Alligator mississippiensis: one gene and its partner. Each later gene encodes a partner of the first gene's protein in a complex. Links are inferred from orthologs where the notes say so. Each region holds a gene or a part of one and is shown in the gene's direction. Other genes may lie near its edges.

What was found. The genes of interacting proteins can lie anywhere in the genome.
Region 2: the proteins of MED13 (region 1) and CDK8 are in contact, whole or in part, in a cryo-EM structure (PDB 8TQC), measured with the Homo sapiens proteins. The link is inferred for Alligator mississippiensis from reciprocal best matches to the Homo sapiens genes MED13 and CDK8. Residues at the interface, in NP_005112.2 of Homo sapiens: Thr1616, Met1617, Asp1618, Arg1619, Lys1621, Val1622, Gly1623, Ile1624, Pro1625, Thr1626, Asp1627, Gly1628, Asp1629, Ser1630, Val1732, Lys1733, Thr1734, Leu1735, Thr1736, Gly1737, Phe1738; in NP_001251.1 of Homo sapiens: Leu9, Glu12, Arg13, Arg71, Lys74, His75, Pro76, Leu81, Gln82, Lys83, Val84, Tyr133, Asp137, His140, Tyr141, Met330, Gln331, Phe335, Leu336, Leu340, Pro341, Thr342, Ser343, Asp344.

Annotation. Positions count from the first base shown.
Region 1 is NC_081837.1:3,769,598-3,773,339, forward strand, and holds the start of MED13 (mediator of RNA polymerase II transcription subunit 13), read left to right. Parts: upstream 1-1,324; 5' UTR 1,325-1,546; coding exon 1,547-1,612; intron 1,613-3,666; coding exon 3,667-3,742. UniProt on the Homo sapiens protein: Component of the Mediator complex, a coactivator involved in the regulated transcription of nearly all RNA polymerase II-dependent genes.
Region 2 is NC_081824.1:429,551,944-429,555,685, reverse strand, and holds the start of CDK8 (cyclin-dependent kinase 8), read left to right. Parts: upstream 1-1,385; 5' UTR 1,386-1,423; coding exon 1,424-1,551; intron 1,552-3,742.

The DNA of each region.
Region 1 (3,742 bases):
AGTCGGGGTGGAAGGGACCTCCAGCGGTCACCTCCTGCAGCCCCCTTTCCAAACCATCCTACGCCGGTTGTTCAACTCTCTCGATCGTTTGTATCAGACCCTTTGGCAAAGCCAGGCTAGAAGACGTTAGCCAGCAAAGCTACGTTTAAAAAAACAATGTCAAAACGATGCCGCAGCCGTGATGGTCCGTCCAACTTGAGCGCTTGTGGTCCAGCCGCAGGCTCGTGAATTTGCCGTCGTGGCTGGCGGCAGCAGCGATGCCTTGATTTGAAGATCTCTACCGTGGCTCGTCAATGGGTCTCGAGGCAACTTAGTCCTATCCGTGAACCGCGGACCAAGCTGCAGGTCTTTCCACAGCGGAGAACAGACCGTAGGCCCGATTTCCCCCCCCTGCTCTCTGTCCTCCACCGCGAGGGCGAGACCGTTTCCTTCAAAACGGGAGGCCGTCGCCCAAACCGCTCCTCCCAAGGCTTGACCGCGGCCGTCCGCCTTCTTCAGGTCTGCCCTCAACGTGGCCTCCCGCCATTACTAGCGAACGTCTCCTCCGGCTTGCCCTTGACACGAGGGGGTGACTTTTTGAAGACGGCTGAAGAGCCCAGTCGCACCTGCGGAGAAGCGTCCCGAGCACGACGGGCGGTGCAGGTGCGCGACCCAGCCGCCCAGCTTTGTCTGCACTGTTGGTGGTGGAGGGCACCCCTCAGGGGCAGCCAGGAGGGCTGGGGCCTGCACCCCCACCTCCAGGCCGCCCCCCACCCACCCCCCGGCTGGGCCGCAGGCGTTGGGCGGCCGCTAGATGGCGGCGCCTCAACGGGCAAGGGGCCGGGCTCAACAGCGCTGCCTCGCGCCCCAGCGGCCGCTCCGCGCCACTGCCGCCGCCGCCGCCGCCTGGGCCGAGCCGCCATGACCGGGCGGCGCCACGTGACGCGGCGGCGGCCAATCGCGGCGCGGCGGGGGGGGCCCCGGACTCTCGTCCCCGCGGCCGCCATTAAAGAAAAAAAAAGGGGCTCGGATCGGAGCGGGAGCGCAGACCCCCCCCCCCTGCCCCGCACCGCCACCCGCGCCCCCCGCACCGCCCCCGGCACGCGGCGCAGGGCAGGATGCCGCGGCCGGGCAGCCGCCGCCAGCGGCACCGCTGAGGGAGCGGGCGGCGCTCCGGGACGCAGGCCGCGCACTCGGGGCCCGCCCCCCGCGCGGACACGGCCGCGGCGGCGGGCACTCGGCGGGGCGGCCGGACTCGGCGGGAGCCGCCCGCCCCCCGCGCGGACACGAGGGGCCGGGCGTCGCTCCCCGCCCCCGCCCCTGACGGAGGGTCGCGCCCGCTGCGCGCCCCCCCGCGCCGGATCGCCGCCCTCCTCCTCCTCCGCCTCCTGCCGCCGCGGCCCCCCCGAGCCGGCGGGCAGCGCCCGCGCCTCCCCCCGCCGGCGCCCCGGCCCCGGCCCCGGCCCGGCGCCGAGCCGTGCGGGCGCCCCCCGCCTCCCTCCCCGCCTGTCTCTTTCTTTCTTGTCGGAGGCTGTGGGATAATGGCGCGCGGGTTGCGGCTGTGAGGATGAGTTCCTGCTTCGTGCCGAACGGGGCCAGCCTGGAGGATTGCCACTCCAACCTCTTCTGCCTGGTGAGCCAGTGCCCGACCGCCGCGGGGGGGAGGGGAGGCCGAGCAGCCATTTTTTTAGGGGTTGGATGAGTCCTCGGAGTAGGCCCCGCACCTCACCTCTCCCCCCACCCTGCTGTCTGTCTGTCTCCTGGCGCCCCTCCTCCTCCTCCCCCCCCAACTCCCACCACCGTGCGGACACAGCTCGCCTGCCCCTTCTCCCTCCCGGCCCCCAACTCCCAGCTCCCTATCGCCACGGCTCGCCTGCCCCTTCCCAGCCCCCAGCTCCCGCCGCCCGATCGCCACCCGTCTTCGTGTTAGCGCTGACAGGAAGGCGGCACGCAAACTAACTTTCTTCCCCCCCCCCCCCAGCCCGAGCCCGATGGCGCTCGCGGGTGGGAGACCAGGCCAGGTTCCTTCGGGGGGCGAACCCGCGGTCTTATCTCGTGGCCGGGGGCGTTTTGTCCGAGGAAGCGTCGCTCCCCGCTCTTCCCGGGTGGATTGGCTCCGCCGCTCGCTTTCGTCCGAGCGGTTTGGGCGATCCCCGTTAGGGGGTCCGCGGTTTCGTGTTGATGGCTGCCCACGCCAACTTGATGGAAACAAGTCAATTTCGGGGGGGGGGTCACGGCTCGGGCTTGCCTTAGTCGCTTGCAGGTCGCGGCGTGCCAGGTAGACAGCCTTGCGTTGGCCCGCAGGTCGCCGCGTGCCAGGTAGGCTACCTGGTACTGAGGATGATGGTGGTTGTTGTCAAACATGTGTCGGTCTGTTGCACTGGCGGATTTGGGGGTAGGGGACTCTGGACAGCCTGGTCGTGTCTGCCAGATAGCAAGGGGACGGGCAGCATCAGGCCTGTAGCTCAATACCACCAACATCTTTTAAGCCCTCTAGTCTTTCAGAAGGACCAGCTGTTGCAAATCCTTTCGTAACCTGGAATCCAGCCTTGCCCCTTTTTATTGAGGTAGGGGAGGCTGCCATGTTAGACCTGGAGCTGCAATACTCTTAGCTGTTTTCTCATATGGGGGAGGAGGAAATCATTAAGCAAGTACAAGGTATCCATCACAGAGGCTCATTTATTAGCTTAAAACCCATGGTGCCTCCTGGCAAGCCCTTCGAGGTCATTGCTCCAGCCAAGCAGTGGTCATAGCGTTCACCTTAGTCTCTAGTAGTGTTGCTTTGTAAATAACAGTTCTAGCTTCGTCTTTTCCCCATTAGGTGCAGGTAATCTGCCTCTAGGAAGAAGCAGGGGAAAATGCATTTTGGCTCGGAAGGTCCGGGACACATCATAACTTCTCATTCCTGACCAAAGTCAAACACATTTACAGCAAGGAAAAATAATTTAGAATTTCACTTGTAAGACATGAGATGAGAAGAGAACAGTGTTGTGCAGGGTATAGTCACCATGCTTCTTTGAAGTATTCCCTGTGTCTGAAAGGGTTTGTGTTTTTTTGCTGTAACCGGTAAAGTCTTTCAGGGGATTGGAAAGTGTCCTTTGAGGATAGGCGGACTGTATACAGGTTTCTGAAAGGGCTTTGTAACTTAAATACAGAGAAGGGCCAATGCAAGATGAAGTCCAGAGAAAAAAATCCCTTGCCAAGATGTGTGATTAGTTAATAATCACGCAGTTACGAAATTGTTTGAAAATAACTCCATTGCTGCCCTTCACTTCTGTTTTTTTAATTTTTTTTTATTTTGCTGCCTTTAAAAAGTTGATTAGTTTCATTGCAGGTTTGCTTCTGCTACTAATAATTAGAGTTGTTATTTCAGGCAGTTTTAAAACAGGATAAAGGTCATCATAACTTGGGACCTAGGGTTGGGTCTTTTTTTGGCATTCTGGTATACGCCTGGGTTTACGAAATTAGAATATAGTTTCAGACAAGTTTTATTGACCTAACCAATGGAGCTTGTTTCTTTTTTAATCTTTGATGCTTTCATAGCAAGTAGGGATCCTCTGGCAGTTTCTTATTTTGAGTCTTTCTTATACTTTCTTTCTAACTAAGAAACTAGAAATGATTTCTGGATGTAGTAAACTTTGCTTTTGCCCAAACACGTCCTTGAATTTGTTTTTTCTCTTCCCCCAGGCTGATTTAACTGGCATTAAATGGAAACGATACGTATGGCAGGGCCCAACATCTGCCCCAATTCTCTTTCCTGTAA
Region 2 (3,742 bases), on another chromosome or scaffold:
GAGGGGTGGGGGTCTGCAAAAAAACCCCAAACGGTTCATTGATTAGCAAGTTCACCTAAGTGAAGGAGCAATCCAGTCGCGCCCCCCTGGTTATGATTTTCAAATCTTACAGGGGGCTCATGTCTCTTACTGGGGAGGGGGGGGTGCTCAGCCCTGCCACCCCTCCAGCTCCGCCTTAATTCATACCCCGATTGTGTGGGCTAACTCCTACTGTTTAACTCTGTGCCACTTGTGCCCAGTGCTGCTGCCCCCCTCCCAGAGCACCAGGGGGCTGAGGTGCCTGTGAGGTGGAGGGAAGGGCTGGGTAGGCCAGGGCTGCTAGGAGGGGCAATGACCTTACAGCTCCCCACAGTCTCCCATGTGTTTATGGTGGGGCTTTCTGAGGTGAACCCAGTGCTCCCAGATTATGACATGCTGAAGCCTTAAACTATGTCCATTTTAAGAGGCCCCATATGATAAAAACAATCCATGAAATCCACAAAAGTGGACTGTCATGAAATCTTAAGATGAATTATTGTTTTTTCTGCACAAATTTATGAACTGACTATTAATAACTGTGTAGCCATATAGATGTATATTTTTGTCATATTAGAACGAAAATGTCCAGACTCCTTTCTTATTTAGAAGCCCCTCATATTGCAAGGCCCTAAACTGTACCTTAATCTTAAATCCCCGCACTGGAAGACGCTACTGCTTATCACCCCACAACCCCGAGACCTGGAGGTGCGAGGTCCCCGACGGGACGGGGCGGGGCGGGGCGGGACAGAAAGCCCCCTCCCCTCCTCGCTGACTACGAATCCCGCCATGCCGCGCTGAGCGCGGTCCCCGCCCACGGACCACAGCTCCCAGCATGCAGCGCGCCGCGGCCACCAGGTTCCGCGGCATCTCCTCCTCACCGTCTCGTACTCCCCACCATTCACCCTACGGACTACACCTCCCGGCAGGCCCCGCGCGGCCTCGACCATAGCCAAGCGCGGCGCTCATCTACCCCCCTGCACTACCACTCCCGGCATGCAAAGTGCACAGCTCACGTCAGTGCTGTGGCGCAGGGCACGCCGGGAGCTGTAGTGGGGGTCGCCGCAGCCGGCTGGATTCCACGTGGTGCGCCAGGAGCCGGGAGGCGGCGGGGGGGCGGAGCGCGCCCGTGCGACGCTTTTGCGGCAGTGCGGTCAGGCGCGGCCGCCGTATTCCGGTGGCGATACCGGCTGTGGTGCCGCTACCCGGCTGAGGCGCGGCGGGGGCGCGAGCGGGGAGGGAGCAGCGCCCGCCGGCTCCCCCTGCATGGTCCGCGTCGCTGCCGCGGGGCCTCCTCCTGCTGCTCCAGCTCCCCAGAGCCGGCGGGGTCCGGCGGGGGCGGCGCTGCGCGGCGCGGGCGGGGGGCGGGTGGCGGGGGCTGCCGGCGGGGCGGCGCCGGGCGCTGAAGATGGACTATGACTTCAAGGTGAAGCTGACCGGGGAGCGCGAGCGGGTGGAGGACCTGTTCGAGTACGAGGGCTGCAAGGTGGGGCGAGGCACCTACGGGCACGTCTACAAAGCCAAGCGGAAAGACGGGTGAGTTCCCTGCCCGCTCGCCCCTCGGCCTCTTCCTTGTGGCCCTGTCCCCCGAGCCACCGCCCGCCGGCCTCGGCCACATCCGTCCGGGCGCGCCTGTCGCTGTCCGGCCCGTGGTGGCCCCTGCTCTTGCCCTAGCTCGGCCTGGGCTCCCCTCATCCCCGGCCCCCACCCGCTTCTTCCTTTGGCTGCTCTGTAGCCCCTCACCTGTCGCCCTTCACCTCGGACCCTTCCCCTTCTCTTTGCCCTCATTCTCGTTCCCTGTCTTGGCACCGCTGGCTTTTTTTGTCCCCAGGCGTGTTTTCTGTGGTGGGGTTTGATAAAAAAGTCTGTCTGCGTGTGCATCGTACTCCGGTGTATCTCCATCTTTGTCTCTATCCTGTTTAACTTGGCGACTTTGCTGGTGAACAAATGAGTGTCCGGGTTTAGAAAAGCCTCAGCCTGGCCAGCCTTTGGTTTGTGTAGGGTGGGATAGGAGCCCCCCCTGCCCCCTCCCCCAGTAGTGGGTTTGTGTCTGATTTATTACTTCGAGTCACCATTTTGGGTGTTGTTGCGGATTGCTCTAGTGGCTGAACTCTCTCTCGGCCCTGTAGGGGGTTTGGCAACCGTTTGGAATGAGGATCTGTTTCTGTGGCCAGTTTGTAGCACAGGAGATGCAGGGTTTTGCACAGATCCTTGGAAAAAGAAGGGGGCCAAGCTGTTGTGTAAGGTTTTACTAACCCACAACAAAGCATCACTTTTTCCACAATGGAACTTGGGGAGCAGGAGAAATGGGAAGCACAGAGCACATTGTTCTGCCTACTCCAATGTTTTAGCAGTGTTTTAGTTTGCTTACTCCATTTATTTCTCCTTGATGAACCCCTTCCCCAGTAACCTTAAAATGTTACTAATCACCTTCCCATGAAGGTAATGCTGGGTCATTTCAGCATTTTCAAGTGGCAAATATTTGTAATTCAGTAAATGGAAGAGATTTGTAAAGAAGTCTGTCAATTATGAATGATATATTTAGCTAGGCTTTATGTACTTCTGATGTTACATAGATGTGCTTTCCATTATTACATATAAATGCAGTTTTGCACAAACTTCTCTATTTAAAGATATTTTAAACATACTCAGATTGATCTTTAGCATAACCATTCCAGTCTCTATTTGTTTGCTGGGATGGGCCAGCTAGTGTGTGCGTGTGTGTGCTTCCTTTATAAATTAAAAACCCAGCTCTGCAAACCTGAACAGCTCACAAGAACAGTTATTGCTTAGGTGACTAATTTTCAACTGTGTGAATAAAGATTTTTACAATTCAGTATTATTGTCTCAATCCTCCAAGCATGTATATGTATAACTTCATTGGCATAGGTTGTCCTATAGATTTCAGTAAAGGTAAGGAATACGTGATGAGCTTTCTGCTATGACAATGACTTGAAATGTTTTGAGTCCAGAAGCAAAGCAATATCTTGATAGGCATGGGGAAAATACAGGTGAAATACTGTATTTGAAGTAGTAAAGCAGTAAGCTAAAGCCATTCCATAATTTGGGATATATATTGTTTAGAAAACGTTTATTAATTTCACATGCATTTGAGGGGAACAAAAAAGTTTAACACATTAAAAGGTAACAGTAATTAACACACACTTTTCAGACTCCTTTTCTCTGTAGTTATTAAGTGTAGCAGACCTCTGCAGTGTATAAAAGAACTCAGAATTTGATAGTACTTATGATGCATGAATTCAAACATTTTTAGCAGAATCATCAGTCTGCATGATGATACTTAACAGAGCAGTGTCTGGAGTTTCATAGTTTCATAGTAGCTAGGGTCAGGAGGGACCTGAACAGATCATCTAGTCTGACCCCCTGCCACAGGCAGGAATGAATGCTGGGTTCACAAGACCCCAGACAAGTGATCATCCAACCTCCTCTTGAATTTGCCCAAGATAGGGGCAAGGACCACCTCCTTGGGAAGTTTGTTCCAGCTTTTGGCCACCCTAACTGTAAAATATTGCCTTCTGATCTCTAACCTAAACCTATTTTCCATCAGCTTATGACCATTGTTCCTTGTCACCCCAGGTGGTGCTGGGGAGAAAAGAGCTTTGCCTATTTGCTGTTGATCCCCCCTGATGAGCTTGTAGGCAGCCACCAGGTCCCCCCTCAGCCTCCTTGCTGAGGCTGAACGGGTTCAGATCCCTCAGTCTCTTCT